Stegostoma tigrinum: one gene and its partner. The protein of the gene in region 1 interacts with the protein of each later gene in a pairwise test. Links are inferred from orthologs where the notes say so. Each region holds a gene or a part of one and is shown in the gene's direction. Other genes may lie near its edges.

Region 1 (3,755 bases):
GTATTCACATCTTTTTAAAGTAAAAGAATCAATACTTTATATGGTTTAGTAAATAGGCAGTTAAGCATGCTATAATTCAAAATTTTAGGTCTAGCTCGAAGTGCCAACCTTGGGTCAGGAACAATTTAGTCTCAGGAGGTTGTAAGTTCAAATCTCACCAGAGGAATGAACAAATAATTAAAGCTGACACTGAAATGTATACAGAGGGAGCACTGAACAGTCTGACATACTGACTAGTGGTGTTAAATTGAGGCTCTGTTTGCCACTTACCTGCTTGACAAAAATTTCATGGCACTATTTCACAGAGCAGTGGGGATATTCTTACTGGCTTTCTGGCCAATTGTTATCCCTCTACCCACATTACTGAAACAGATCTTGTTAGTACCTCGATGTTTGTGAGAGCTTGCTGCATGTAAATGAATGGCCGCATTTCCCTATAATATAACAGTCACTATATTTAAAAACACTTCATCGACTGTTATGCAGCCTGGAAATTTCTAAGATTGTAAATGGTGCTATATAAATAAAATTAATTCTTTTAACAGTTTATGGTGTCATCACCACCAGCTGAGTTGCTTGTTTTAATCCATTTCCTAATTCAGTACTGTGACATTTTCACAAGGAGTGGGCATTATTTCAGGGTTTCACTGGTGTACTTTCCCCAAACACTGGTTGAAATATAATTTCCTAACTTTGTATGTGCAATAATATAAAACAATCACTGGATGTTGCCATTCCTAAACACCAGAAAAATCATAGTACAGTCAATGATTTCTCTTTAGAGTGGTGAGAGAATTGAATTCTATGCAGTTCTGCAGGGTAGAATTAAGAGTCCTGGCAGAAACCTCACCAAGATCAAGGTCTGGGCAGCTTTGATCTCAGAATGAGTTCCTTTTGATTGCAGCTCTCAAAGTGTCTGCTTTGTCTCCTGAGAGTTCTGGAATCAAGCTTTTACTTTAATCTCTCCATCATTAGTGCTGCTTGCACAGGAAGTTGACACTTCCCAAAGACCTCTGGGACTTTTGCTCTCAGGCTGAATTCCAAGGTTTGAACATCTAGTGAAATTTCTTAACCATTTTCTACCTTCTTTTGCAGTTATGTAAAAACATTCTGCACCCTGTGTCCTAGAACCAATTCTATTTTAACCTAAACATCTTTTATATTTAAATAGTATTTGCTAATCCATGTTTCGTTTTGCTCTCTTACACCTACCAATTTGTAACGTACAAATGGAATCAAATATATTGCTTCTGAAGAAAGAAATAGGGATGGAATGAAAGGCTTTTAGATGTATCAGTAGGATTCTCAAATGGCTTCTATTGATGCATTTATTTATTCATTTTTCCATTCTTTGTTTTTCATTCCTGCTGCTCTGTGTGGAATATAGAAGCTGTGTCTAAAAGCTAGTGACAAATTCGGTGGCACTTTTTCAACGCTGGTTGCAGTAAACAGGCTAATGACAGCATTGTGAATCGTGTGCCTAGGATTTTGACACAAACACATTAACCGATGCATTAAAAATAGTGTCAAGGAATATCAGTCGCATGAAAGGTTAGTGGATACCCTGATTGTGTCATCGCAGAGTGCATGCAAGTTACAATGTGACATTGTGAATGGAGGTATGTGCAGATTATTTTTTAAAGCAGTCTTTCAAAATTTGGCTGAAATTGAAACAGTAACGGAAACAGATACAGAAGGCCCACCAGGCAATTAAGCAACTTGCAAATCCAAACAGGAAAATAGTGAGCTGTTTATTGCCAAGCTTTGTTATGGCACAAAAAGCTGTCAATGATCCAGAACTATCAAGACACAAACTGGAGTGTTCTGATGGAAGAAAGAATGCCACACAGTATGAAAGTTGCAAGGAATGTTGCTGAAAACCAAGTAAAGGGAAAGAAAAGGAGCAGCTTTCTGTTCAAACTAGGAAGAGGAGAGTAGCTTCATTTTATGGGAAAAGAAAGGTAAGTCCACCTTGATTGCTGCACAGTGCAGATAGTACATCTGTGCTCTCTTGGAATGAAGACTGCAGTTACATTATCTGTATTATCACATTGAGTAAAGAAGGGGAAGAATGTGATTACAATTCACAAAGCCTCTTGTTACATTGTTTAATTCCATGCCTATACTCATTATTGATGGCACAAAGTTTCCATATGCCTGCACCATATAAATCTTCTGCAACATTTCTTTACCTTGCTAATCTCTCTCACCCTTTTAACATGGACCTCGATTAATTTTTCAAGGCCTTACCCTAAACTATTTTCTGTTGATGTCCACCTCCTGAACAAGCATCGCAGAATGGTTCAAAATTCGAAACCTGTGTCAGTTGTTGCAAACAACACAGAAAGAAAGCTTGTAGGAATGAAATGCTTATTTTAGGAGGCGACTGTACCCTTCAGGATCTAGAATGCAAGGTATACCATTTATCCTTGCAATATGCTTGGATTATATGATATTTTGTAACAAACTAAGTCAAGATTGCAATCTCCCTGAATTAAGTCTGTGATGTCATAAACTTTAAATTGTAAATTTAAATAGAACAAAAGTTATTGAATGGAACAATCCTTGTCAGGTAGTACATTGGAAAGGAACAGACCGTGTTCATGCAGAGTCATATTGTTTACTTGTGAGACATTAAGGCATTCAACTTTTTTGCATTAACTTGATTAGTAAACAGCAATGATGTTGCATCCCACAGACAACTGCATTCTATTAGTTTTAACTTCTCTGTCTTAAAGAGTCACTATATTTGTTCACAGGTTATTACATGCATAATTTAGGAGTTTATGGAGTAATGTAATTTACCCTGGAGCATGCTGCTGTTCAAAAGCAGTGCGGTTTAAATAACCCAGTTGCAAAATAAGCAACAAGTCTTAAACCCAACTGTATCATATACAGTGTGTGCCCACTTTGAATTGCAAGCACCATTCCTCTACAGAAGGAGTTATTGTGTGCGCGAATTCGTGGTTGGAAATAAACAAGCACAAGGTCAATTTAAACACAAGCCAGTGACTTCAGCGTGGTCATATAGAGACATACTTCCATGAAAGCCAGTACAGATTATCTGAAATTCCAATGGGTTGCCAGACAGAACTGATAATTCATGTGATGAGCTATTCAGAATTTAAAAGAAATTATGGCATGCTTGTTGCCTTTTGATGTTTAAGAAATAGGGCCTTTTTAGACATATATTTTAAAAAGACCCATTGATGTTTGTTGAAAAGACAATTAAAGATAAACATCAATTTCAGTTTGTTTTTTGAGAACGCACTCATCATAAGAGAGAAATAAACTGGGATAATTCAACTATAATGCCTTATCTTTCAAATGTTCTCAATTCATTGAGGAATAATCTTCCCTTTGTACACTGTGTTTGACTGAGTTGCGAAATGGCTGACCTGAACCACATCTTTCTCAAATGGTACAACTTATAAGAGGTTTCTGTAGTGATTGTAACAAGATCAGCCAGGTGGACCTCATAGAATATGAGTTCCCTGATTAGAGCTGTTAATCTAGTCCATTCGGGGAACCCTGGCTGACACGTAAGAATATGAGTGTCAGACATCCTATTCATTCTCAGAGCTGACTCTGACGGAGCTGGATCAGTATCAAAGACACTCCGTGTGTAAATAAGGGGTGAATTAGTGACGAAGTATCAGCTTCTGTAGAGTTATTTCAGTGGTGATGTAGCCTACTAACTCAAGCCCAACTGGACTTCAGACAGGCATTACAACTGAAGCTGGATATATGCCCAA
Region 2 (3,755 bases), on another chromosome or scaffold:
TGATGAAGAGTCTAAGCCCAAAACGTCAGCTTTTGTGCTCCTGAGATGCTGCTTGGCCTGCTGTGTTCATCCAGCTTCACACTTTATTATCTTGGATTCTCCAGCATCTGCAGTTCCCATTATCTCAGCCTGTACTGTGCTGTACCTTTCTATGTTCTATGTTCTTAGGAAAAGGATACTAAGAATAATATTAGAATTAAAGGTAGAGAAGATACCAGGACCTGATGAACTTCACCCTAAGGTCTTAAAAAGACTAGTTATTGAGATAGTAGATGCATTAGCTTCAATGTCCAAAATTCCCTGTATTCTGGAACTGTCTCATCAGATTGGAAAATGGCAAATGTATTCAAGATTTTATTCAAGAAAGGAGGGAGAAAGAAATCAAGAAATTATAGGCCAGGTAGTATAAGAGCTGGCAGATGGAAAATGCCAGAGTCTGTTGTTAAGAAGGTTATAGCAGGGAATTTAGAAATCTTACTATAAGTCAAAATCAACATGGTTTTGTGTAAATGTGTTTGACTAATTTGTCAGTTATTTAAGGAAGTAATAAGCAACAAAGATAACAGAGAAAATGTCCTTGCAGTGTTTTTGGATTTCCAAAAGGCATTTGATAAGGTTCCCATCAATATTTATTACACAAATTATGACCTCCAGGTGAGAATAAGCGTAGATCGATCATTTCCAGGTTGGCAAGAAAAAAACAAGTGGAGTTCCACAAGGATCATGCTGGGGCCTCAACTATTTCTAATTTAAATCAATAGCTTGAATGAGGAGAATAAATGTATGGTTGTTAAATACTGATTACCCAAAGATAGGTGATAAAATAAGTTGTGAAGAGTCTGCACTTATTATTAACAGATTAAGTGACCGGACAAATGTTTAATAAAGTTTAATGTGGGGAGATTTGAACTTGCCCATTTTGGCAGGAAGATTAGGAAAGCAGCATTTGATTTAAATTGAGAGACATTAAAGAATACTATGATGCGGAAAGATATCTTCTACAGTAAGTCACAAAAACCAAGACTGTATTACAATACATGATTAAGTTGGCAAATGAATGTTGTTGCTTATTGCAAGGAATTTAAAGTAGGGATATTTTGCTATACGTGTACAGGGCTTTGGTGAGATTACATCTGAAATATTGTGTACAGTTTTGGTCTGCTCACTTAACTAAAGATATGTTTACATTCGAAGCATTACAATCTTCTGGAGTGGGAAGGGAAGGACAGCAGAAAGAGTGGCCAACCTATTTAGGGGTTGGATGTCAAACAACACAAAGCCAGTTGCAGAAAATCTACAGTGAATGTGTGAGGATAGCACAAGACAGACAGTACAACGGACTATGACGACAAATCTCCCAGCAACCGCAATGCTTCTTACAGAAAACCTCAACAATAACCATTGAGACATCAATATGATGTAAGCTGCTGGCGCGTTCATTACTTCCGCCTGGCCAAACCAGATGCTGGGCTTAGCCACACGACAGCCATACCACCTCTAGCCACTAGAGGCTGTACACTTTGGAGGTAAGATACCTTCCCAGTCAGTGGCTACTCTTGCTTCAGAAGAGACTCATTGTCAAATGCGGCTGGGAGCTTCGTCTCGTCAGGCGGTGTTTGGTGCTGAACATCAATGGCGGATCCGAGGGAGAAGGCGCTTCAGGATTACAGGAAAAAATTATTGGAGCACAAAGAGATCGACGGCCGCCTGAAAGAGTGTATGTTTTCCACATTTTACTCATGGTTAATGGGTTGGGGTGTAACTGCGGCTTCTATGTTATGTACGAGCGAGTAGAAACGGGGCCTGATGCTGACTCGCTTTGTCATGCTGGGTAAAGCCGGGGCCGAGTGAATCGCAGCTTCAAGGAGCAGCCTCACCGGTCTGCTTCCAGACCAGGCTTCGCTCCAGTTCCCGCTGTGATTCATATTCTAAATCACACAAGTAAGATGTAGGAAATTGTAGTCCGGGATTCTATGTGAAGTGAAAGGAGTTTGTTGTGGGCCCCATTGGAAGGGAGATGATCCCAACCATCAGCGGCTAATAATCTGGAGCTAGAAGTTAAAATCCTATCCTAGCACCCTGAAACTTCAAATTCAGTTAATTAAACAAATCTGGAATTAAAAATTACTGACAGTTATCTCCTGTCTAATTTGATAGTGTGGCATTTCGCGGAATAAACTGCATCCATAAGTGGTTTGTATCTTTATATTTCTCACGAATGCAATTTTTTTTAATAACGTGGAGGAATACTATTTGGTTTCGTGCCTGTACTAACTCTTTGAAAGCGATGCAAGTAGTCCTACCGCTCACATTTGCAGAATTCCGTTCAGGATAATTTTGTTGAGGCAGTTTTGAACGCTGTTTTCACGTTATTTATATTTTAATTCATTTCATAATGTTATTCTAACTGTGCGGGATACTAACAAAAGCTGAATGAAGCACTGACAGGATCTATAAAATTTTCGTGTTATCAGTTCGCTTGTTACTTGTAGAAATTGATAAAGTATGTAGTGTGAAATAAAATACAAAAGTAACGTTATTCCCAATTATAATTACATATTCTTGCTTGAGTCTGTAACAAAAAAAATAGAAAATACTGGAAACAGTCCAGTAAGTATGTGAGGTGGATAACTAAATTAATGCTTTCCATGCTTCAAGTATCTATGTTTGTTTAATTACTGACCGGCAGCAGAGGAAATAGGAACAAGAGTAGGCCATTTGTCCCATCAAATGTATCAGTTTCTGGGTCTTGAGCATACTCTGGGATTAAACTCCCACATCTCTCCAGAGAAGGAAAATTCCAAAGATTCGCCACCCTCTGAGTGAATATTGGCGTTGAGACTGTTTTCCTTGGTTCTGGACTCACAAGCCAGAGGAAACTTGTATCCGTACCTGTTCCGTCATATCCTGTGAGAATTTTGTAAGTTTACCTGAAATCACTTCTCATTCTTTAAAATGCTGAGCACCCAGACCTAATTCTTCAGTCCCTGCTCTTGAGACAAATGTGCTGTCCCAAGATTAGTTTGGTGAAACTTCACTTTCTTTTTAAATTTGCTGTGTAGATACCCTTTATGCGGAAATCGCTTGATAAAGCTTGTTTTGGGAAATTTTCTGTGTGTTACATCAAAACAGGGCAATATTCTATTTAGTAAAGCTTTTTATTTATAAAAATGTTATCACAAAGGTAGTATTTAAATGAATACGTGGAAAAATGTTAGCTCGTAAATAACTTGCTTTGGCAGTGAAATATTTCATGGGCTGTATTTAGTTTTGAAGCATCTGATCAGTGTTTTTTTAAATAATCTTGTGCTTCATGTAATTAAAAGGAAGCAGCAATTATTGTTAATATTATGGCATACTTGTGGCAAAATATTGTGCATTACATGTTACTATCAAATTTCTTTCAAAATCTTTGCTTCCACTATACCTTCTCCCTCCACTGTGTGATTTAACTGATGTACAGCCCAATTAACAAGGCTTTGGCAATGTGTTCTTGGTGGGTGGAGTCCTGTCTCCTAGCTTGCTGGAAAATTTACACTCCTGAATAGATCTTAGAGAATATTGCTTGCTACCTCCATTAACTGCAGTTTTGTATATGTAGGTGAAAAAAGATTAAATACCAATCTTGAACTTGTATGCATTAATTACAAAGGAGAAATTTATTTTTAAATAAACTGAAGTCTTAAGTGCAACAAGTTTGTGGAATTGTCTGTGAACAATGTCGCACAATCTGACAATGTTTGTGGTGTCTCACG

What was found.
Region 2: the proteins of UPF0500 protein C1orf216 homolog (region 1) and psmc6 interact in binary tests that used the Homo sapiens proteins (3 or more experiments, as listed by UniProt). The two-hybrid records come from large-scale screens. The link is inferred for Stegostoma tigrinum from reciprocal best matches to the Homo sapiens genes C1orf216 and PSMC6.

Annotation. Positions count from the first base shown.
Region 1 is NC_081377.1:22,225,147-22,228,901, reverse strand, and holds the start of UPF0500 protein C1orf216 homolog, read left to right. Parts: upstream 1-1,472; 5' UTR 1,473-1,961; intron 1,962-3,755.
Region 2 is NC_081363.1:46,105,424-46,109,178, forward strand, and holds the start of psmc6 (26S proteasome regulatory subunit 10B), read left to right. Parts: upstream 1-1,558; 5' UTR 1,559-1,632; coding exon 1,633-1,717; intron 1,718-3,755. UniProt on the Homo sapiens protein: Component of the 26S proteasome, a multiprotein complex involved in the ATP-dependent degradation of ubiquitinated proteins.